Linked DNA regions of Saccharomyces cerevisiae S288C. The protein of the gene in region 3 binds, or shares a complex with, the protein of the main gene of each other region. Each region holds a gene or a part of one and is shown on either strand. Other genes may lie near its edges. A codon is read from its position in the direction of its gene.

Region 1 (4,670 bases), on a different chromosome or scaffold from region 3:
TATTTTAACCTTCAAAGCATGGATCACCGACCATAAAGTAGCAACAATGAACGCTTCAGGGATGATTGTCGTCGTTTACATAATAAACGCCATTTTCTTATTCGTTTTCGTTATTTGTCAATTACTGGTATCCCTATTGGTAGTTCGAAACTTATGGGTCACAGGAGCTATCTTTTTGGGGCTATTTTTCTTTGTAGCAGGCCAGGTATTGGTTTATGCCTTCTCTACACAAATTTGTGAAGGGTTCAAGCACTACTTAGATGGCCTCTTTTTTGGAAGCATCTGTAATGTGTTCACATTAATGATGGTTTACAAGACTTGGGATATGACTACCGACGACGACTTGGAATTTGGTGTAAGTGTTAGCAAGGACGGTGACGTGGTGTATGATAATGGATTTATGTGAAATGCTTCTTTTTTCTATTACCATATATAGAAAATAGGTGTATACTATTAGTTTAATGTAATAAGCAGGACTATGACAAACCAAAGAGTGAAAGTAGCCGTTTCCACGTTTTAACGGCTTGTGTACACTTTGACAGTCAATCAGCGTAGTGACTTCTTTTATCAGCGGAAACAACCATATCCATAAAAGAAACGTGATGGTCGTTCCCGTAGTTTATTAAGTAAGATGACAAATTATCCTTCTTTAGTCAATTGAAAACAAAACTTCTTAATCTGTTTCCAATGTTTTAAAGTCGCTCATATGTTCATGACTACTTTTCCATGAGAGGGTTCTACGAAAAGCATCATCTTATTTTCGCAACGCTGCGGGTTTAGGCCTTTCCGCTGGTCTCTTTTCTGTTTACAGTTCTGCCCGAATGTAAACAAATACTTTGCGAAAAGTAAATAATGTATTCTGAAAAAAAAAAAGAGAACTGTGAACAATGCTTGATAGTTGTAGGAATATCTTAGAAGAAAGGGGATAGATTATCTGGAAAATCGTTTGAATAAAATAAGAACCAGTAATTCATTCGTTTAAATTGGAAAAACAAAACATAAAAGAACCAGCAATGTCTTGGTTGCCTGTTAATGTAAAAAGTTCTCCCAAAAGATGACAGGAAACTCGTTAACTCATACTCGGTATATAAGAGGAAACTTATCTAATGTTTCATTCATTCTTCCTCTTCTGCTTATTCGATGTCTATTGAAAAACTTCAAGTAAACCAGCAATATCGACTTCCATTAAGTAGACAGCGAGCCTGAAACAAAGAATATACTGTTTCAATTCCAACTAAAGCCACTCCCTCAAGCGTTATTATTTTTTGAATTATATTTTCGGGTTTTAAGCTAACTCTAGTCATTCCTTACTACATTTTATTGTAACTCTTCAGTAGAGCTAACCACAGTCATTCCTTAATATTTTTTAACACAGATCTCTTTCACAGAGTAGAAATAAAGCCACTCCTTTAACAAATTACAAAGAAATGAAATTTAATTTTTCTACAATTTTCAATATCTTATTCTTTTTATTCACCTTAATTGAAGCCAACAGCAATGGGGAAACAGTCAAACTTATTACTTCTGATGGTATTGTTTACAGTTATGCTGTCTACACAAAGACTCTTGCGCCGGCAAGGGTTGTGGTTAAAACGATTTCATATACTACTACAAGGGTATATCCGATTACTTTAGCTAATTCCGTCGTTTCTTCCACTACTGAAAAGATAACAGAGGTTTCAACGGTGTCAGCTTCAGAACAAGTTAGTGCTACTCAAACAAACTCATTGGTTTCTACTTCTACTGTTTCCACTATCAGTCCAACGATTTCATCTGGTTCTTCAACATCCTCTAGCTCTACATACGATATCGAATCATCTCAAAGTATCGAATCGTCAGGTACATCTTCCGCTACAGCCGAACCATCTGCGTCTTCAGGTTTTCGTTTGACTTCTAGTTCTGCTTTTGTTTCATCTACTGCACCTTTCTCTTCCCAACTTTCTTCATCTTCATCTTCTGAAACATCATCCTCATCATTTTCAACATCATCATCATCTGCCCCTCTTTCCTTAACTTCTTCTTCTTCTTCTTCTTCTTCTTTCGCCACTATTATTACCTTGGCACCATCGAGCTCAAAAAGCGGAAACTCTCAACTAACTTTGGCGTCATCGTCTTCCACTTCCGCAGTTGAGTCATCCCAAACAGGGTCCACTATAGCAAGAACTACCTCTACACTGGTACCCTCTTCTAGCGTAGATACAACGTCTAGAGCAACGACATCCATGCCATTAGAATCGTCTTCTACGCAATCGATATCCGTCTCCAGCTCGGATGGCACTTGTTACGTTTTTTATGATGATGATGACTACTATAGTACTGTCTACTTAACTAACCCGTCTCAATCCGTTGATGCCGCCACCACTATAACTAGTACAAACACAATTTATGCTACGGTTACCATTTAGCGCTTAGGCATAATGGTGGTGCATTCTTTTCTATTTGTTTTCTCAGGCGTATTTTTTCCATTATTTTTTGTTAAAAATAGTAAAAAGACAGTATTATTTATTCATTTTTCCTCGTGTTGTTATAACGACTAAGTTTCCTAATTTCTTTATTTTGTTTTTTTCTCATGATCTTTTCATTTTGTAGTTTCAACTATTATATACAATGTGTATACTATAACTTAATTTTATTAGTTACCTCTTACTAAGGATACTGATTCTTCCCCACTCATTTCATGAATTCATCACAAGTCTTTAGTATTTTTCATATGGAAATTACATCACCTATATATATCAAAATGTTCCGGCGAGTACATTGTCAGAATCTACAGTTTTTCCTGATATGAGCAGTGATATGGAGAAAGAGACACTAAATAAGAACAAAATATTGCCGTAGATTTAATGATTCAATCATGTGTGTCAAATTTGTTCTCCATTGCATCTTCCTATTTGACATTTGTCTCATGACCACGACATTGTACATTACCAGGTAAGGCTACAATTAGCCTCACCGATGTAACGTTATATAACGCTGCGGTCGTAGAATATGATTTTTCTGAATTTTAATTTTTTTTTTTTTTTTTTTCATTTCTTTAACATCTAAAATAGATTTTAGAATCAGAAAAGTGAAGAGTATTCCACATCATCGACTTATTCTACCAACATTTAATAAGAACGTACCCAAGAATAAAAGTCCACAAGTATAACAATGTCTCGCGAAGGGTTCCAGATTCCAACAAATTTAGACGCCGCAGCTGCAGGTACTTCTCAAGCTAGAACGGCAACTTTGAAGTATATTTGTGCTGAATGTTCTAGTAAATTATCTTTATCCAGAACTGATGCAGTCCGTTGTAAGGACTGTGGTCATAGAATCCTGTTGAAGGCTAGGACTAAGAGATTGGTTCAATTTGAAGCTAGATGAATGGAGAGACTGAAAACCATAATGGGTTACCGGGGCAGAATAATACGAAATAAAGAACCTAGGTTTTCCAAGGTTTTTGCAATATATAAACTTGTGCTTGATTTAAGTTTATGCAGCACTTTTCTTCCAGCAAATTCTTTATGTTTTTTTAAGGGAAAACGTATATCACTTAGAGATTATATTAATGAAAAAAGGTGTATACAAATGTATAATAATAATAGTATATAAGAAAAGTATTCGCTATTTATAGTGATTTTAGTTTGTACAATGTACTGTATTTTTTTTAAATGTAGTATTTTATATATATGTTACATTAGTTCGAACTGAAAAGGAACTTATGAATTAAATCATCACAATTCTTGGTTCTTCCGTAAAGCTGAATTGCCGGACGGTTATTCCCGCATTCTTCAAGACCTTGAAACTTTCCTCGTCCATTCTATAACTTTGGCTATAAACTACTTCACTGATGCCTGTTTGAACAATCTTTACAGAACATGTTAAGCAAGGGCAAGTATCACAGTATAAGGTCGCATTTTGACCTACACGATCCCTGCCAGCTTCCAGTAGTGCATTCTCTTCTGCATGTAAGCATAAGCAAGTGTGCAGATTTCTAGAATCACCGTCATTGCAACGTGGGCAACCGCCATTGAAACAATTTGTTAAATGTCGAGGAGTCCCATTATAGCCAGTAGCAATCACTCTGCATTCTCTCACAATCACGCAACCAACTCTACGTTTCATGCAATTGGAACGAGATGCTGCTAGTGTGGCTAACTTCATAAAATAGCTATCCCAACTAGGCCTCATTAATGGAGCCATTTGTTTCTCTTTGTCATCGAGAATCTTTAATTGTGTGGTAATGTTATTAATCAAGCTCTGTCTCCTTCCTCTGCGGTCCTCATTAACTATTTTAAATCTCAAATGGGATTTCTCCCTTAATTTGATGCCTTCAGGCTGAAAGTCATGTTGATCAATGGCTTGTATTATTTGTTCTAATGATAAGCTTTCTGCTTGAGTCGTTTTCCTGTATAATGCTACCCTTGTAGTGACAGGAGCGTCGATAGAAAGATGAACAAAAAATGGTCTCTTTTCCAGTTTCTCCAGTAATGATAATTTTTCTAGGAATATAACTGAATTTTTTGTGTAATTTTTCGTAGCATAATCTAATATCTCCTCTGGATTATCTAGGTGATTGAGTAATTCAAAATGAAAATGATCAACCAACATGTTAATAACATCTTCGCATCCGCAAAATTTCGTACCACTTACACCAATTAACATAATCGTGTTATATTGATTAGTGTAGC
Region 2 (5,354 bases), on a different chromosome or scaffold from region 3:
AGCAAACTAATCTATGTTTTCAATAAGGCCAATATAATAATGGATAATTTTGAAAGTACTGCTGAAGGAAATTTAAGTATAGGAAACAAACGAGTATACGAACTACGAAAAAGAAACTTCCAAAGAAATTTGGTGAATAATTTGAGCTTTCTCGGGTATGTTTTAATATCATTGGAATATATCAAGTATGATCGTACCGTCTGGACACTTATAACAAGAGCAATAGTGCAATCTCTCATAAGTTCTCCTTTTCCAAGTGATGCCAAGTTACGTAGGCTAGCGACCCTCGGTGCAGATAATAACACGACGGGGGTTGCAACACTTCCAGGCGGAAGATCTATCAGGTTTCCCGGAATGTTTGGAACAGAAATGCTTTATAATTCTTCTAGTGAAGCTGAGCAACAAGACCATGATGATACCGCTATTGTGTCCATGAAAAAGCAAATCCGGAAGTTTTTATTTCATGGTTGCTTATCGTTGAATATGCTTTTCATTATCTTAACAATCCTATTCCCAATTGATTTTTTTGAACCCCTGAGTGGTAGCGAGCCAGTAGACGATGGCCCTAAGAATACTCCCTCACCCTTTTCCAATTCAGATGGTCTACTTTTGGGTGAGAGAAGAGGTGGGCTTTTTCTACAGATGATCGGAGAACGGCTACCAAAGAGCAACTTTTCCGGCAATCTTGGATTAGTAATGTTCGAATTTAGCATACTTATTGTACAGTTTACTTTATTTTCACTAACATGTGTTGTATTGGCAGATTTAGATTTTGAAGAGCCAGAAAGACTAGAACCTGTAAATAGTGATGGCTACGATGGCTCTGTAATAGTTGCACGAATACCATTAAATAAAACCATGAATGCCATTTTAAATGACGGCAATATTAATGACAACAATGAGAATGCTAGCAATTCTGTCTAATAGTATATATATGTAGTCCATAAGGGGTAATGCATATTACTGTTATCGGCACTATTTTATAGAGAGTTACATTTACATATATCATTCTATTACATTTCCTTATCTATGACGATTCATGGGTTTGTATTTTTTTGGTAGGATTTGCCAATTCTACTAATACTAGAAGAAAAGATTATACAAAGATAAAGACCCTGAGGTTAAGTATTTAATATTTTTCTCAAACTGTGTTTTTTTTATTAGTATGCAAAGTAGGATCATTGGGTAATTGGACAGTTTTTCAAATACTCAGCCTTATTCTTTAAAATCCTGACGGATTTGAAAAAAATTTCTTCTGGTGTCATGGCACCAGCGCTTTCTACGTTGAAAATAAAGTGGTTCCTCACTCTTCCTAATTTAACTTTATCAGCAAACTCTTCGTATCTTAAAACCTCCCTGGAAACCGTATCCTTCCTAGCATCTTTGACATACGCTTCATCTGAACCTTCATCAATACCAATAACACCTGGGGGAAAACATTTTTGAAATCTTCTGGCACTTTCACCTTTGATTGGCTGTAAGATATTGATTTGAGGTAATAATCTATAAGAAGCGGTGGAAACTGGTGAAAATTTAGCATGATCACCACCGATACCTAAAATGCAATGTGCCTTCAACGAAATTTCTTGACCAGGCCTTAGCTTAGCTAATAAAATATCAGGATCAGCTGGAACAACCGGACAATCAGCAAAAGTGGTAGATTGTCTGCCCTGTGGTTCAAACTTCAAATCACGGGCGTAGACATGGGCATTGTTATATAGTTCCTTTGGATCAGTAGATCCCTTTGGAGCATCTGGATTTCTTGTGCACTTCACGTTCAAACTCAAAACGATAGTATTTTCATCCGTAAACTTTTCATCGTCCGGCAAATTACTATCAACCCATGTGAGCATATCAGGGTCAACTTTTAATGGAACCAAGCCTATTCTATGAGCCAAAACCTCATCTTGGATAACGGATGTATTGTTAAAAAAATAGACGTATTCAGCAGCCACGGATGGAACCTCGGAAATCATTATACGACGAAAGGCATTCGCAATCGATGTGTCAATGTTTATCAAGTCGAAATTTGCCTCTCTTGCGTCTAATGACGAAATATTGACTTCGAAGTCCTTTTTGAATTTTTCCACATTCCACTCGTTTTCTGCATCCTTCGAGAAACCAGGAAAATCCGTGGAGGTTGTATTCGTTACACGGTTATATTCAATACCCACAATATTTGACATATCTTCTTTCACCTACTTACTTTCATGCACTTGATACCTGCTCTTCTACATAATATGAGTGAAATTTTTTCTTTCAACTCATCGCAATAATTTTTTCACAAAATTTTTGTGAATCCAAGTCACTATAAACGGAATTAATAAATATTTGCAACATAAAGCACAATGTATTGTAGCAGAAGACAAACGACAAGTATGGGATAATGCAACATCTCTTTCTAATTAATATAAAATCAAGAATAAGCATGTCTTCTGACTAATTTTTATATACAAACACCAAGATCATAAATTTTTGTCTTTGAATGGATAATTAACCCATACACCTCATACAAGATTTTGAGAGTAAACACAAATCAATGGACCTGTAGTCGGCTAGATCACAGATCATGATGAACTGTATTGTCGCAACAAACTTGTAACTCCAATAGTGATTAGCAACCCAGAATATCGTATTCAACAATAATTCGGTAGTCATGTTTTCACGAAGTGATCGAGAGGTAGATGATTTGGCTGGTAATATGAGTCATTTAGGGTTCTATGATTTGAATATTCCTAAACCTACTTCTCCACAGGCGCAATATAGGCCTGCTAGAAAGAGCGAAAATGGAAGATTAACTCCCGGACTTCCAAGATCATATAAGCCGTGTGATTCAGATGATCAAGATACCTTCAAAAATCGCATTTCATTGAATCACTCACCGAAGAAGCTACCCAAGGATTTTCACGAGCGTGCTTCCCAAAGTAAAACCCAGAGAGTTGTTAATGTATGCCAACTTTACTTTCTCGACTATTACTGTGACATGTTTGATTATGTTATTAGCAGAAGACAACGTACGAAGCAGGTGCTAAGATATCTTGAACAGCAAAGAAGTGTCAAAAACGTTTCTAATAAGGTTTTAAATGAAGAATGGGCTTTGTATTTGCAAAGAGAACACGAAGTACTGAGAAAAAGGAGGTTGAAACCTAAGCACAAGGATTTTCAGATACTGACACAAGTTGGACAGGGTGGTTATGGGCAAGTTTATCTTGCAAAAAAAAAAGACAGTGATGAAATTTGTGCTTTGAAAATATTAAACAAGAAACTTTTATTCAAACTAAACGAGACGAATCACGTCCTTACTGAGAGGGACATACTAACCACAACTAGATCTGACTGGCTTGTGAAGTTGCTTTATGCATTTCAGGATCCAGAGAGCCTATATTTAGCAATGGAATTTGTACCTGGTGGTGATTTTCGCACATTGTTAATAAATACAAGGATATTGAAGAGCGGTCACGCAAGGTTCTATATCAGCGAAATGTTTTGTGCCGTGAACGCGTTGCATGAACTTGGTTACACTCACCGGGATTTAAAGCCGGAGAATTTCTTGATTGATGCTACAGGGCATATCAAGCTGACCGATTTTGGTCTAGCAGCAGGGACCGTATCAAATGAAAGAATCGAAAGCATGAAAATACGCTTAGAAGAAGTAAAGAATTTGGAATTTCCTGCTTTCACAGAAAGGTCTATCGAGGATAGAAGGAAAATATATCATAACATGAGGAAGACAGAAATTAATTACGCTAACTCTATGGTCGGTTCGCCTGATTATATGGCCCTAGAAGTTCTGGAAGGTAAAAAATACGATTTTACAGTGGATTATTGGTCATTAGGCTGTATGCTTTTTGAAAGTTTGGTTGGATATACACCTTTTAGTGGTTCTTCTACTAATGAAACTTACGAGAATTTAAGATATTGGAAAAAAACTTTAAGAAGGCCCCGTACTGAGGATAGAAGAGCAGCATTCTCAGATAGAACCTGGGATTTAATTACAAGACTAATAGCTGACCCCATCAACAGAGTACGATCTTTTGAGCAAGTTCGCAAAATGTCTTATTTCGCAGAGATCAATTTTGAAACCCTAAGAACAAGTTCTCCACCATTTATTCCTCAATTAGATGATGAAACGGATGCAGGTTATTTCGATGACTTCACAAATGAAGAAGATATGGCTAAATATGCAGATGTCTTCAAAAGACAGAACAAATTATCTGCAATGGTCGATGACTCTGCCGTTGATTCCAAGCTTGTTGGATTTACTTTTAGGCATAGAGATGGAAAACAAGGTTCAAGCGGGATACTTTACAATGGTTCAGAACATTCAGACCCTTTTTCAACTTTTTATTAAGATTACGTCCCTACAATTTAATTTTGTATAGCATAACAGATACATTGACAACAGCAACAAGATGTGCTAACATTTTCCATTTTGAATGATTACCAAAATTATGAAACCAAGGCAACATGTAATTTTTAAGTTTAGTAATCTTTTTCGGGATGAGATGTTTTGAAGAGTTTTATGCTATTAAAGTAGTAATATGATTTATATATTCAAATAAAATGTAAATTATGAAAGAAAAATACGATAAGCTGATAGGGTAAACTAGAAACCTTCGTTTTCTTCATCATCCACATCCAGTTTCTTTCTACCGCCCCCATTTCTTAAGGCAGCCATCTCATTAGTGGCAACTTGCTTTCTAACCTTCTTTGTCATCCTGGCTATCTCTTCTTCAGCGTCAACTGCATCTTCTTCTGCATATTGCATTACCAATCTGCGGCCCAGTAAATGGACACCGTGCAACTGATCCATAGCATTTTCTGCTTCCTTTGGAAGTAAAAATTCCACGAACGCAAAACCTCTTGCAGACTTGTCGAACTTCTTTGGAACTCTAACAGATTTTAATTGACCAAAAGAATTGAATAATTCGAAAACGTCTTTCCTAGTAGCTTCAAATGGAAGATTCTTAACAATGATTTTACCGCTTTTCTTATTGGATTTAGTCTTTGTATTACCGCTCTGAGATGCTTGTCTATGGGATAACTTCAATTGAATCTTATGGCCGTCGATTACCGTCCCATCCATTGCAGCTATCACGGCATTAGCTTGTTCCTTGGTCCTGAATTCTACAAAACCAAACCCCATTGACAAGGTCTTGCCTTGATGTTTTGGATCAGGTTTTGTCTTCACTTGGGCAACAACAAAACCAGTGAAAACCTTGAACCTATCAGTAAGATTTTGGTTCGTCGTGGAGAAGTTTAGATTCTTTATGAAAATTGAGACAGTTGGACCATCAATAACGTCTTCATCATGAGCATTAGATGACCCTTCAGTTACATCCTTGTTTGCTTCC
Region 3 (7,851 bases):
ACAAATGGAGCTGGAAAAGGAAAAAATTGAGCTTTCTTTGAAATTGGTTAGGAAATGGAAAAAACAACTTCATGATTCTCCAAGCTTAAAATTACTAAGGAACATAATCAGTGCTTTCAAGGTTGCTGTAAATTTGAACAAGGAAGAAAACATCGAAGACTATAAATATGCTATCACTGATGAGAAAGCATTCCACGAATTGATGTTCATGGTCTTGAAAGATGTACCACAAGCGATTCAAAAGATGGCCCCATACAAGATTGTAAAAGGCGCAAGGACCTTACCAAATGGAGGTAACGTCTCCAGGGTCTCGTCCATTGTCAAGTCGCATGCTGGCTCTTTGTTGATTTTATTGAATGATATTACTAATACGGAAACAGCAGCATTAGTTCTTCATTCTGTCAACGAATTGATGCCTTATCTTTTATCATACAGAAGGATCTTAAAGGAGCTTATTAAATCAATTGTTGGAGTATGGTCTACAACGAGAGAATTAGAAACCCAGATTGCTTCTTTTGCCTTTTTGATCAATACCACCAAAGAGTTCAAGAAGTCTATGCTAGAAACAACCTTAAAAACAACGTACTCCACTTTTATCAAAAGTTGTCGTAAAACGAATATGCGTTCTATGCCACTGATTAATTTTCAAAAAAATTCGGCAGCTGAATTGTTCGGTATCGATGAAGTTCTAGGTTACCAAGTTGGATTTGAGTATATTAGGCAATTGGCAATTCATTTAAGAAATACAATGAACGCGACAACTAAAAAATCCAGTAAAATTAATTCCGCAGAAGCTTACAAGATTGTATACAACTGGCAATTCTGTCACTCCTTGGATTTCTGGTCTCGTGTACTATCGTTTGCTTGTCAACCAGAAAAGGAAAATGGCAGTGAATCTCCTTTACGACAATTAATTTACCCATTGGTTCAGGTTACTTTGGGTGTAATCAGATTAATCCCAACACCACAATTCTTCCCATTAAGATTTTATTTGATTAAATCACTTATTAGACTTTCTCAAAATAGTGGTGTTTTTATTCCAATATATCCTTTACTTTCTGAAATTTTAACCTCAACGGCTTTCACTAAGGCACCCAAAAAGAGCCCTAACTTGGCTGCTTTCGATTTTGAGCACAACATCAAATGTACGCAAGCTTATCTGAATACAAAAATATACCAAGAGGGTTTGTCAGAACAGTTTGTGGACTTATTGGGCGATTATTTTGCTCTGTACTGTAAAAACATTGCATTTCCTGAACTTGTAACACCGGTTATTATCTCTTTACGCCGTTACATCAAGACTTCAACTAATGTCAAACTTAACAAACGTTTATCAACTGTTGTAGAAAAATTGAACCAAAACAGCACATTCATCCAAGAAAAGAGATCAGATGTTGAATTTGGGCCAACAAACAAATCTGAAGTTTCAAGATTTTTGAATGATGTAGCTTGGAATAAAACACCTTTAGGTTCTTATGTTGCAGTACAACGTGAAGTTAAGGAAGAAAAGGCCAGATTAATGAGAGAAAGTATGGAAGAACAAGACAAAGAAAGAGAAACAGAAGAAGCAAAATTATTAAACAGTCTGGAAAGTGATGATGACAACGAAGATGTTGAAATGTCAGACGCTTAACAACTCAGCAAGATTTGATTTTTTGTCTTGAATTCAATAGTTAAGTCTATAAATGTGTAAAATAAAGAAAAGTCTTTTTTAAAGCGTATATATCATTGTGCTCACATGTGCTAACATGTGAGCACTCCAAGCTTTCTCTTGTCAGCTGGATATTTTTATATTTTGGCCGGTTTATGGATAGAAAACACGTCAAACGTTCGATGGATCTTATAAAAAGTAATGATGTAAAGCAAGGTACAAAAATGAAAGAAGTACGGTTTACTGTTATATAATTTTCGAAATCGTTCAACTCTCTTAAAGTTCCTCACGAAATAGATATGATTGCTAACATAACGCAAAATTTAGTACAAGATATATGATTTCTTACTGCTGGAAGATATCTTCCAATCTTAATCTTGGGGCTATGTTCATGGATAATAATTCCTGGAATAACAGTTTTGCTGCATATGGAATAGTCATCTTAATAATATTCTCAGCACTTTTGCAGGTAGTACACCAACCACTATAGCCCATTAATCCACATTTATCGCAGACATCAACTTCAAAAGCATCTGAACTAATCATCAACCTTTCTAACAGCAATTGTGAAGCACCATACGCGATTACACAATCCCTCTCCATCTCACCCAACCTCAGACCACCATCTCTAGATCTACCCTCAGTTGGTTGACGTGTCAAAACAGCCCTTGGACCACGAGCTCTTGCATGCATCTTATCTAAGACCATATGCTTTAACTTTTGATAGTAAATGGGGCCAAAAAAGATGTAAGCCTGTAAACACTCACCTGTTATACCTGAATATAACATATCCTTACCGGAATAGTTGAAACCTTGGTCTACCAAAATCTTAGACATATCTTCAAGTTTAGAACCACCAAAACAAGTACCATATTCCAATGTACCATTCAATACACCAGCTTTACCCGATATCAGTTCGATCATTTTACCCACAGTCATACGAGATGGAAAACCGTGAGGGTTCATGATAATGTCTGGAACTATACCTTGATCGTTGAAGGGCATGTCTTCTTGCTTTACAATAATACCACAAACACCTTTTTGACCATGTCTAGAAGAAAATTTGTCACCTAATTCTGGCCTTCTGTTTTGTCTTAGCAAAACTTTGATTAAAGCTTGATCGTTATCCGAAACAGACATCATAACTTGGTCAATGTGAGAAGGTTCTGGACCTCTATATATTACCGGAGCTTCCCTATATTGAGTTTGGACGTTTACGTTGTTTGGGTTTGGGGCGTCTGCTGAGTTAGTTGGAACTGACTTATTTATATAAATTTGTCCACTTTGGACCTTCATACCCACCTCACCTAGACCATCAGGACCAAGAGATTGATGTTGCCAGATAGGATCTCCATTTTCATCAACTCTCATACCACCGATGATATCTTGGGTATGGTTCGCATATCTTTTCAAAACAGTGGTTGTCTTTCTACGTGTTTCGCAACGGCCGAAACCTCTATCGATGGATGACTTATTCAAAACCAAAGCATCTTCAATATCATAACCAGAATAGGACATGACAGCAACCGTAGCATTTTGACCAGCAGGTAATTTATCATAATCGATCAATTCAATTGTTTTGGTTTTCACCATTGGCTGTTGTGGATAAGTCATCAAGTATAATAATGTATCTATTCTCTTGAATTGATTGTAGGCGATTGCACCAATCGCTTGCTTACCCATCGCACATTGATATGTGTTACGAGGGGATTGGTTATGATGTGGATATGGAATTAAACCAGCAACAGCACCTAAAATTGTGAATGGCTCGATTTCTAAATGTGTCATCGAGGGAACTATATCTTTTTCATACAATGCAATGTAAGAATCGTTTTCTTCATTGACATCTAAATATTCCACCAATCCGAGTTTCAAAAAATCATCGAAATCTAACTCACCATCTAATAATTTGCGTAAATGAATATCTTTCACGCGAGATTGACCATCAGAAACAATGATTAATGGCCTACAAATTCTACCACCATCTGTTGCAATATGAACTGCCATTTGGTGAGAATTTGAATAAATTGAGATAAACTCCGACACTTTACCTGTTCTTCTCAGATGTCTGAACTGAGTAACGAATTTTGTTGGGAATCTGATTGAACCAATTAAAGTACCATTCAAATAAACACCATAGTTTAAATGCAAGGATGCACTGTCAATCAATGTTATGTCTTCTACACCAAGAACATAACATAATTTCTTTATAGGTTCCTCTTCGTCATCTGTAGTAATATGAGTCATTAATGCTAAATTTTTCACTAGACCACACGCCTCACCTTCTGGAGTATCTGCAGTACAAAGCATACCAAATTGAGAAGGTTGTAATGCTCTTGGACCGGAAACTTTTCTTGATTTTTCAAACTGAGAAGAAATTCTTGTCATCATACCCAATGCGGAAATATAAGATAGTCTGGAAAGAACATGTGTAACACCCGCTCTTTCCATCTTAAATCTTTTAAGAGACCAATTACCGGTTGAGATAGCTCTGTTCAGTCCGCTGGTGATGTTATTTGAATGGACGTTAATTGACAATAATGCATCGTATTCCATAGCCCTATTTGGTTTTTTCAAGACCTTATCAATGCTTAGTTTAAAATCATTATTAAACTTTTTGAACAAATCTTCGAACAATAAAGAAATCAATTGGCCTGCTAATTCAAGACGTTTATTACCAACATAATCTCTATCATCAATCATCTTAGGGTTATACATTGCCATCACCACCCTGCGCGTCATCATGGCAATATATAAAGCCTTTTCTCTAAAGTCAAGGGCTTCCACAGTCAAATGTGCAATAACCGTGGTAGCAATGGCCTCTATACCCTCTTGCAGGATAGTCAGTTTTTGCCTTCTCATTGTCTTTACTTTTGCACCAATATACTCTAAAGCTTGCTGTTGTGTGTAAATATCTAATTTCGAAGATTCTTCCAAATTGACTGCAAAAATATCTTGGTAGCTACTATCATTACCGCAAACCAATTGCATAATTTCTAAATCTGATAAAATACCACAGGCTTTGAGAACAATAGCAATAGGAATTTCTTCAGCGATGGAATTGTGCTTCAAATAGATCTTGCCATTTTTGGTAATGACATAAGTCTTAGATTTTCTTTCATGGGTAGATGAAGTAACGGAGGCCTGAACAATGCCTTTCTTCTCATCTGCCTCCACAATAATACGATTCTTGGATAATTGTTCTTGAACAAGAATTACTTTTTCGGTACCGTTAACAATAAAGTAACCACCAGGATCCAACGGACACTCGTTTAATTTAGCCATTTTCGATTCATCAGCATCATATAGGATACATTTATTAGATCTCAGCATGATCGGCATCCTACCAATTTCCACGTCTTTATGCATAATAATGTTTCTACCTCTAGTGTATTCTATATCCACGTAGATTGGTGCAGAGTATGTCATATCTCTAAGCCTACACTCATGAGGCGGAGTCAAATAATCTTTTGTCGAAGAAGAGGACTTCTTACCCACTCTAATATCGACGTACTTCAGGTAGAATTCTGGATCAACATCACTCAAAATTAATTGATTTGCCTTTATAATTTTTTTTAAATCTGTATCAACGAAGTAGTTAAATGAGTCAAGATGTTGCTTCACCAAACCTTTAACCTTCAAGAATGCTGGTAAAAGGTGCCACTTATCCTGAGCAGTATTGATTTCATCAGTTAGTTTCTTACCTTTATATACTGGTTTCAATAAATCATCAAAAGCCTCGTCTTTCACATGCTTATGTATATGAGTTTTCCGTCTTTTTGTCGCAGCAACCATTTTTCAACAAGCACTAAGTCCCTAGCGATTAAAACGCTCAATTATCAACACTTTAAACTCCCTTTAATTCTTTCCTAACTTGTCCATATATCATCACTTAAGCATAGATCGAAAAATTTTCAGCTCATCTCACAATTACAATTTCGTCCGACGTGATCTGGAAAATACGCGCCTGCTTTATGGAACTATTTATATCTTTATGTGTAGTACACCTAACAATAAGGAATATATAAAAATAATGCACCTATTAAAACCTTTGGGAAGTGCCAACTTTGAATCATCATCTTTCTTTGAACACCGCGCTGCGACCTTTGACAAGAAAGACGAGATCACTCAACCTGACAGACCCGATTCCCCTGGTTCCCCTCTTCCGCTTTGCACAGCCCTTTTCGCTTAGTTTGGAAGCCTAGGTCCGATCCCCAGTGCTATTAATAGTTTACAATAAAATAGGATCGACGTTGCTATTGATGGATCGCATAGCACAGCAATATCGTAATGGCAAAAGAGACAATAACGGCAATAGAATGGCTTCTTCCGCTATATCGGAAAAGGGCCACATACAAGTCAATCAAACTAGAACACCTGGTCAAATGCCCGTCTATAGAGGTGAAACTATAAATCTGTCTAACCTTCCCCAAAATCAAATTAAACCGTGCAAAGATTTGGACGACGTTAACATACGGCGGAACAACTCTAATAGGCATTCTAAAATACTTTTACTAGATCTGTGCGCTGGCCCCAATACCAACTCATTTTTAGGCAATACCAATGCTAAGGATATCACAGTTTTATCGTTGCCGCTACCCAGCACTTTGGTGAAAAGGTCGAACTACCCGTTCGAGAACTTACTAAAGAATTACCTTGGATCTGATGAAAAGTATATTGAGTTCACAAAGATCATCAAAGATTATGATATTTTCATTTTCAGTGATTCGTTTAGCAGAATTTCGAGTTGTTTAAAGACAACTTTTTGCCTCATTGAGAAGTTTAAAAAGTTCATCTGCCATTTTTTTCCATCTCCTTATTTGAAATTCTTTCTTCTCGAAGGCTCTCTGAATGATAGCAAGGCCCCCTCATTAGGAAAAAATAAGAAAAATTGCATCTTGCCCAAATTGGATTTGAACTTGAATGTAAACTTAACTTCAAGGTCAACTTTAAATTTAAGAATAAACATACCTCCACCCAATGATTCAAATAAAATATTTTTACAGTCTCTGAAAAAGGATCTAATTCATTATTCTCCTAATTCTTTGCAAAAGTTTTTCCAATTCAATATGCCTGCTGACTTAGCACCTAACGACACGATTTTACCGAATTGGCTAAAATTCTGCTCCGTAAAAGAAAATGAAAAGGTAATATTAAAGAAACTCTTTAACAATTTTGAAACTTTAGAAAATTTTGAAATGCAAAGATTAGAGAAATGCCTGAAATTCAAGAAAAAGCCTTTACATCAAAAGCAGCTATCACAAAAGCAGAGGGGTCCGCAATCCACGGATGATTCAAAATTATATTCTTTAACTAGTTTGCAACGACAGTATAAAAGTTCTTTGAAAAGCAACATACAGAAAAATCAAAAGCTAAAATTAATTATACCAAAAAACAACACATCTTCTTCGCCATCACCATTATCTTCCGATGATACTATAATGTCACCAATAAATGATTACGAACTTACTGAAGGAATTCAGTCTTTTACTAAGAATAGATATTCTAATATCTTACCTTACGAACATTCAAGAGTAAAGTTACCTCACTCCCCGAAACCACCTGCAGTTTCTGAAGCATCCACAACCGAAACTAAAACAGATAAGTCATATCCGATGTGTCCCGTAGATGCAAAAAACCACTCCTGCAAACCGAACGACTATATCAATGCGAACTATTTGAAGCTCACGCAAATTAATCCTGATTTCAAGTATATTGCTACCCAAGCTCCGCTTCCTTCTACGATGGATGATTTTTGGAAGGTTATTACTTTAAATAAAGTTAAAGTAATAATATCATTGAATTCTGACGATGAATTGAATTTAAGAAAATGGGATATTTACTGGAATAATCTGTCATATTCCAACCACACTATCAAACTTCAGAACACCTGGGAGAATATTTGCAATATTAATGGCTGTGTTCTCAGAGTCTTTCAAGTCAAGAAAACAGCTCCACAAAATGATAATATCAGTCAAGATTGTGACCTTCCGCATAATGGTGACCTTACTTCCATTACCATGGCTGTATCCGAGCCGTTTATTGTTTACCAATTACAATACAAGAATTGGTTAGATTCATGCGGCGTAGATATGAATGACATCATTAAACTACACAAAGTCAAAAATTCGTTATTGTTTAACCCGCAAAGTTTTATTACAAGCCTCGAAAAGGATGTTTGCAAGCCTGATTTGATAGAT
Region 4 (5,165 bases), on a different chromosome or scaffold from region 3:
AATAAAAATAAAAATTTAACAACGTCGCAAACGCCACATCGTTTGAAAATTAAAGAGAAAACATTAAGAAAACTTTCTCCGAATATTGCTGACATCTCCAAGCCAGAGTCTCGTAAATCCAAAAATTATCGGCTTACAAACCTTCAATTACTTCCACCAGCAGAGGCAGAACGAGATGACTTAAAAAAAAAGTTTGATAAAAGGTTATCAGGAATTATGAGGTCTCAACAGGAACATCATCGGCGTAAACAAGAGAAACAAAAAAGGATGTCGCATTTGGAACAAGATCTAAAAAAGCAAACAAGCTTTAGTAATGACTACAAGGACATACGTCTAAAAGAATCTTTGGCTCCTTTCGATAATCATGTGCGAGATACCATCAACAAAAATACTGCATTTAGTACCGACAATATATTGGCCACAATAAATACAGTTGACCATCGAGAAATAATCGGAAATGTGACCCCAAAGATAGCCTCTGTCAATGATTCTTTACCAGAGATAAATACTGATTCTGAAGATGAGGCTAGCGTAACTTTAGCGGCATGGGCTAAATCCCCGTATTTGCAAGAGCAATTGATAAGACAGCAAGATATAAATCCACAAACTATCTTTGGACCAATTCCGCCTTTGCACACCGATGAAATTTTCCCAAATCCTAGGCTAAACAGGTTGAAACCGCGTCAAATTGTGCCCAAAAGGTCTTGAATTCGATTACCCCAGAAAAGAAAAATTCAAACTGGTTAACATTAAATCAAGTACACTTTAAATACTCTGGTATTCCCCCTGCATTACGTATATCGTTCACTTTCTTTACTTTTCCTTCTTGCTTTGTTATTTCTATCTACAACTTTGCGTTACATATTTTTAACTATTTGACACTTCACACAGATCTTCTTTCTAAGGCTTTTTGCTTATCCCACTTGGAAATCCACCCTTCACTTTCTACCTTTGGCACAATATATATTTTCAAAGCGTTATCGAACAATGGTACATCTGGCGACTCTTTCTTCAAGATATCGTGAAATGTCAGTTTCTTACCAGCTTTAATCAAACCACCTGCCTTTGTTTCCATGAACACCAACACTTTCTTTGGTGTGAAGTTTTCCTTACCTTCTTTTTTGAAGCGTTCTTGCGGCCCTTCCAAAACTAGGTCAACAAGTTCTTGCACAGTAGTTAACTCACTTACTTCACCTACAAAATCAAATTCATCTTGCGTGGGGTACATAATTAATGCGGGATAGATCAATTGAGATTCAAAATCCATTGGGTCTTCTAGCCTTATTTTACCCTCATTAAGTAACTCTACTGGAGAGTGAGTTTTGATGTTAGTTATGTTTCTCAGCGTCATTGCGCTCTCTAACATAATTTTCTTGTTTTCACGTTCCTGAGCTTCTCTTTGCTGTTTTTCTTCTTTTGCTTTCAATTCTTGTTCTTTTCTATCAATCACTGATAACATATTCAAAATTGATTTGTTCTCTGGGTCAATCCTTTGATTGGCAAATGTTGCGGCTGATTTGGCCTCCTCCAACTTGTTTAATTGGAAAAAAGCCTTGCTTGTACGATAGTAGCACTTAACATTCTTGGGGTTAATAGTTAGAGCTTTACTGCAGTCCTCGATACACCTCCTGTAATTTTTCAGCTCTAACTCACATGCCGCTCTATTGGCATATAGTGACTCATTTATTGATTTATCTTCGCATTCTACAGCCAAGCCCTTTGAGTAAAGTTCCCTTGCATCCTTGAATCTTTTTGCTTTGTATAGTTCGTTACCTTGCTTCTTGAAATTTTCAGCGATTTCGTGTGGTTCGCCTTCATAAGCTAATGCCTTTAAAGCTTCTAACTCCACGTTTTCACCACCTGCACCGTCTGTTTCATCCAACTTGGTCATGAAAAAAGGCATTCTGTTCATTTCTTTCAAGATTTCATCCGATGTTTTATCTTTAAATTCGGATAGTTGGGGTGGAAGTTCAGGATCACCTGGCCCTGGCACATATTTTTGTGGTTTGGTATATCCTCCATTTGCGTTAACGGAGCTCATTCTAGATGCAAAACCAATTTATTCTTTTCTTTTACTTGCTAGAATGTAGTGCTCAAGACCTCACTTTTAATTCAATGCTGCTTTTGAATTTAAGCTCATCGCTCTGAAAAGTGCCGGAAATTACACATATTCTTTTTTTCTTTCTTTTTTTTCCACCTTTTTCCTCACTGCGTTAAGAAAGAGATGAGGTGAAGTTATTTTGTTCTGTGTACTATAATCACACATTACACAGTTTTCTGTGAAACTGTACAAGGTGCCTAAACAGAGATACGAACGCATACGCTTTTAGTATTTAAGTCTTTAAGCTCATTATCCGCACAAGTAAACTTGAGAACACAGACTCTCTACATATAAAGTGCCAGATATCTTGGTAATGCTCGGTAGGTGGATTAACGTACTCTTATCATCAACCGAGACTAGAAACCGTATCAATAATTTATTTTATATAGAGCAGAGCATCTGATCGCTAGTTAATATGCAAGCATTTAAAATTAAAGTGGCAATGTATTGTTGTTGTCCTCTATTCGACTCCTAACGGAGGCCTTTTTTTAGCAATGGCTGACCGCGGAAGGAAAAATTTTTCTTTTCTCTTGAAAAATTTTCAATCATATATATTATTCAAAACGACGCAATTCGGTGAGGAAGATTACAAACGTTGCTAACAAGGGTCAACAGATCACGAGCCAATTTGAATTCAAATTAAATTAGTAGGGGATTTACAAAATTTGTGCGCAGGTGGATATTACTAATAAGCTAAGACAATGGACCAAGAAAATGAAAGAAACATCTCAAGATTATGGAGAGCATTCAGAACAGTAAAAGAAATGGTTAAGGACAGGGGTTATTTTATCACTCAAGAGGAAGTCGAATTGCCATTGGAAGATTTCAAGGCCAAGTATTGTGACTCCATGGGCAGACCACAACGTAAAATGATGTCCTTCCAGGCAAATCCAACAGAAGAATCTATATCAAAGTTCCCAGACATGGGCTCCTTATGGGTAGAATTTTGTGATGAGCCTTCCGTTGGTGTAAAGACAATGAAGACTTTTGTTATACATATTCAAGAAAAAAATTTCCAAACAGGTATCTTTGTTTACCAAAATAATATTACACCAAGTGCAATGAAATTGGTGCCTTCTATACCACCAGCCACCATTGAAACTTTTAATGAAGCTGCCTTAGTGGTTAATATTACTCACCACGAATTGGTTCCAAAGCATATCAGATTGAGTAGTGATGAGAAAAGAGAGCTTTTAAAAAGGTATAGATTGAAGGAATCCCAATTGCCAAGAATTCAAAGAGCTGATCCTGTAGCCTTATACTTGGGATTGAAAAGAGGCGAAGTAGTTAAAATCATAAGAAAAAGTGAAACCTCTGGTCGTTATGCCAGTTACAGAATCTGTATGTAGAGTGGCATTTGGATTTACCCCTTTCATATAATATAAAATAACAAGAATATGTACAATTAGAAATAAATAATCTGCAATAAACCAATCACTAGTATGAAAATTTGAAAGGCGCGTTTTTTTCACTAATTTCAGAAAGAAATTACACAGAAGGTGGAGTTCTAACACTATTAGTCATCGGCCAGTCTCGCACAAAGCACCACATCGGTAATGCCCTTCCACCATGACATATCCTTTAAATTTACTGTTTGGGGTGGGCTAACTTCGGTGCCTGAGCTACCCAGAAATGTTGATCCAATAGTTATTATAAGACTGTTGACAATATCGCTCCTCAGCAACAACTGATTTATTACATTGGCACCTCCTTCAACCATTACTGACCTTATATTGAATTCTTCTTTTAATATCTCAAACAATTTCTTCCAATCGACCAATTTCGTAGTATCATTTATTGGACAAATTGCGTAGTCTACATGTTGTTCTTTTATAATGGGCTCACTTGTGACAACAACGATTGGCGGCTTACCCTGTCGTTTAATAAAAAGTTCTTGCATTTTTGAACCATCAAATCGCCACTTTTGCTTTGTATCTATTATTATTGGCCTTGGGGAATTTGCAGCCGGATCGGGACCCCATTTACAATTCAATCCAGGATTATCAGCTAGCACTGTTCCACTTCCTACGAGTATTCCATCGTGATGATGTCTCAAATAATGCGTCATTGTTTTGGTCTCGGGATGTGAAATTGTAGTCCTCACTCCAGGGCCCCTAGATACTCTCGCGTCGAGCGATTGAGCATAAGTTAGTGTGACAAAGGGCACAATGGTATTTTCCGTTTGACCAGCATTCGGTAGATAGTTTTGCAGAAATTGTGGTAAATCTTCACACAGTGGTGTCAAAGACATATCTTCTAAAAATGTTGATAGTAATACAAAGAAGCTACCAATAGGTTGGTACTGTATTTCTGCTAGATTGTTTCATCGTATCCAAAGCCAGATGTAATGGTTCTGCGAAAAAATTTGATATCTTCATCTTTGCCTCTTTTTTCTGTTTCGGGATTTTCCCGACATCAACTAACTGAAAGGCATGTGGGTTTGTGTGTGTGATGCGGTGTTATATAACCGAATATTCAGTTTCTTCGTAATCTCTACTATTCTTGCCTAGGTCACCAAATTCAACATTTTTAGTTCTTGTAATCTTGTAACGGTTGTTATTGTGAGATTTTTCTACTTTTTCAGCCGATCTTTGTTTTTTGTGATCAAGTTTCTCTTTCTCCTTGTCCAAGATAACGTCGTATTTGGTATTCCCATCTTTGCCTTTTTGCATCGCTTCAAATCGTTTTGCCTCATATTCTTCTGATTCTCTTTGTTTCGCAAGTTGTATTCTTCTATGCTTTTGCTTTCGTTCGTTCTGCCTTTCAAACCATTTCTGTCTCTCCTTTTCTGAATCGACTTCATCGTTATCATCTAAGAGCAAGCACTGCTTGATCAATTCTTCGTTGGTGCTGTAATTGGTGTTAAGTCTCAGCTTCATCGTTTCGTAGTTCTTTGCCACTTGATTAGCTTTGTCGATGTTTTTTATCATATTTTCCTTCTTTGTTTGCAGAACTCGTGCGTCATCTTGGGCATTCCAGGGTTGATCTATCTTGGTAGCTTTCTGCAAATTATTGGCCTTTTTCTTCATAAATAATGGCCTCGGTAAAGGTCTCATATCGTCAC

Evidence for each region.
Region 1: RET1 (region 3) and RPC10 share a complex: the UniProt entries of both Saccharomyces cerevisiae proteins name them as parts of the RNA polymerase III (Pol III) complex.
Region 2: the proteins of RET1 (region 3) and RPC40 are in contact, whole or in part, in a cryo-EM structure (PDB 7Z0H), measured with the Saccharomyces cerevisiae proteins. Residues at the interface, in NP_014850.1 of Saccharomyces cerevisiae: Phe718 (codon at 3,295), Thr729 (codon at 3,262), Tyr730 (codon at 3,259), Lys775 (codon at 3,124), Ser776 (codon at 3,121), Asp779 (codon at 3,112), Arg780 (codon at 3,109), Gly781 (codon at 3,106), Arg784 (codon at 3,097), Glu786 (codon at 3,091), Arg788 (codon at 3,085), Arg901 (codon at 2,746), Asn903 (codon at 2,740), Arg905 (codon at 2,734), Lys927 (codon at 2,668), Gln928 (codon at 2,665), Glu929 (codon at 2,662), Asp930 (codon at 2,659), Phe933 (codon at 2,650), Asn934 (codon at 2,647), Asp935 (codon at 2,644), Gln936 (codon at 2,641), Gly937 (codon at 2,638), Val992 (codon at 2,473), Gly995 (codon at 2,464), Phe996 (codon at 2,461), Asn997 (codon at 2,458), Tyr998 (codon at 2,455), Lys1001 (codon at 2,446), Asp1002 (codon at 2,443); in NP_015435.1 of Saccharomyces cerevisiae: Val5 (codon at 2,174), Ile7 (codon at 2,168), Glu8 (codon at 2,165), Tyr9 (codon at 2,162), Asn10 (codon at 2,159), Arg11 (codon at 2,156), Val12 (codon at 2,153), Thr15 (codon at 2,144), Thr16 (codon at 2,141), Ser17 (codon at 2,138), Thr61 (codon at 2,006), Ser62 (codon at 2,003), Asn65 (codon at 1,994), Arg68 (codon at 1,985), Arg69 (codon at 1,982), Ile72 (codon at 1,973), Ser73 (codon at 1,970), Val91 (codon at 1,916), Gln93 (codon at 1,910), Asp94 (codon at 1,907), Glu95 (codon at 1,904), Val96 (codon at 1,901), His99 (codon at 1,892), Arg100 (codon at 1,889), Leu103 (codon at 1,880), Gly214 (codon at 1,547), Asp215 (codon at 1,544), His216 (codon at 1,541), Ala217 (codon at 1,538), Thr224 (codon at 1,517).
Region 4: RET1 (region 3) and RPB5 share a complex: the UniProt entries of both Saccharomyces cerevisiae proteins name them as parts of the RNA polymerase III (Pol III) complex.

The regions. Positions count from the first base shown.
Region 1 is NC_001140.6:384,083-388,752, forward strand, and holds RPC10 (DNA-directed RNA polymerase core subunit RPC10), read left to right. Parts: upstream 1-3,150; coding exon 3,151-3,363; downstream 3,364-4,670. Other genes in the region: CHS7 (Chs7p), read left to right, coding at 1-406; DSE2 (Dse2p), read left to right, coding at 1,428-2,405; DCD1 (deoxycytidine monophosphate deaminase), read right to left, coding at 3,706-4,644. UniProt on the Saccharomyces cerevisiae protein: DNA-dependent RNA polymerases catalyze the transcription of DNA into RNA using the four ribonucleoside triphosphates as substrates.
Region 2 is NC_001148.4:744,650-750,003, forward strand, and holds RPC40 (DNA-directed RNA polymerase core subunit RPC40), read right to left. Parts: upstream 2,187-5,354; coding exon 1,179-2,186; downstream 1-1,178. Other genes in the region: GLD1 (Gld1p), read left to right, coding at 40-924; serine/threonine-protein kinase DBF20, read left to right, coding at 2,657-4,351; RNA-binding ribosome biosynthesis protein MRD1, read right to left, coding at 4,607-5,354. UniProt on the Saccharomyces cerevisiae protein: DNA-dependent RNA polymerases catalyze the transcription of DNA into RNA using the four ribonucleoside triphosphates as substrates.
Region 3 is NC_001147.6:728,012-735,862, forward strand, and holds RET1 (DNA-directed RNA polymerase III core subunit RET1), read right to left. Parts: upstream 5,447-7,851; coding exon 1,997-5,446; downstream 1-1,996. Other genes in the region: mRNA-binding ribosome synthesis protein NOC2, read left to right, coding at 1-1,633; tyrosine protein phosphatase PTP2, read left to right, coding at 5,914-7,851. UniProt on the Saccharomyces cerevisiae protein: DNA-dependent RNA polymerase catalyzes the transcription of DNA into RNA using the four ribonucleoside triphosphates as substrates. Second largest core component of RNA polymerase III which synthesizes small RNAs, such as 5S rRNA and tRNAs.
Region 4 is NC_001134.8:546,647-551,811, reverse strand, and holds RPB5 (DNA-directed RNA polymerase core subunit RPB5), read left to right. Parts: upstream 1-2,802; coding exon 2,803-3,450; downstream 3,451-5,165. Other genes in the region: SLI15 (Sli15p), read left to right, coding at 1-708; HSP70/90 family co-chaperone CNS1, read right to left, coding at 884-2,041; RIB7 (2,5-diamino-6-(ribosylamino)-4(3H)-pyrimidinone 5'-phosphate reductase), read right to left, coding at 3,618-4,352; U4/U6-U5 snRNP complex subunit SPP381, read right to left, coding at 4,561-5,165. UniProt on the Saccharomyces cerevisiae protein: DNA-dependent RNA polymerases catalyze the transcription of DNA into RNA using the four ribonucleoside triphosphates as substrates.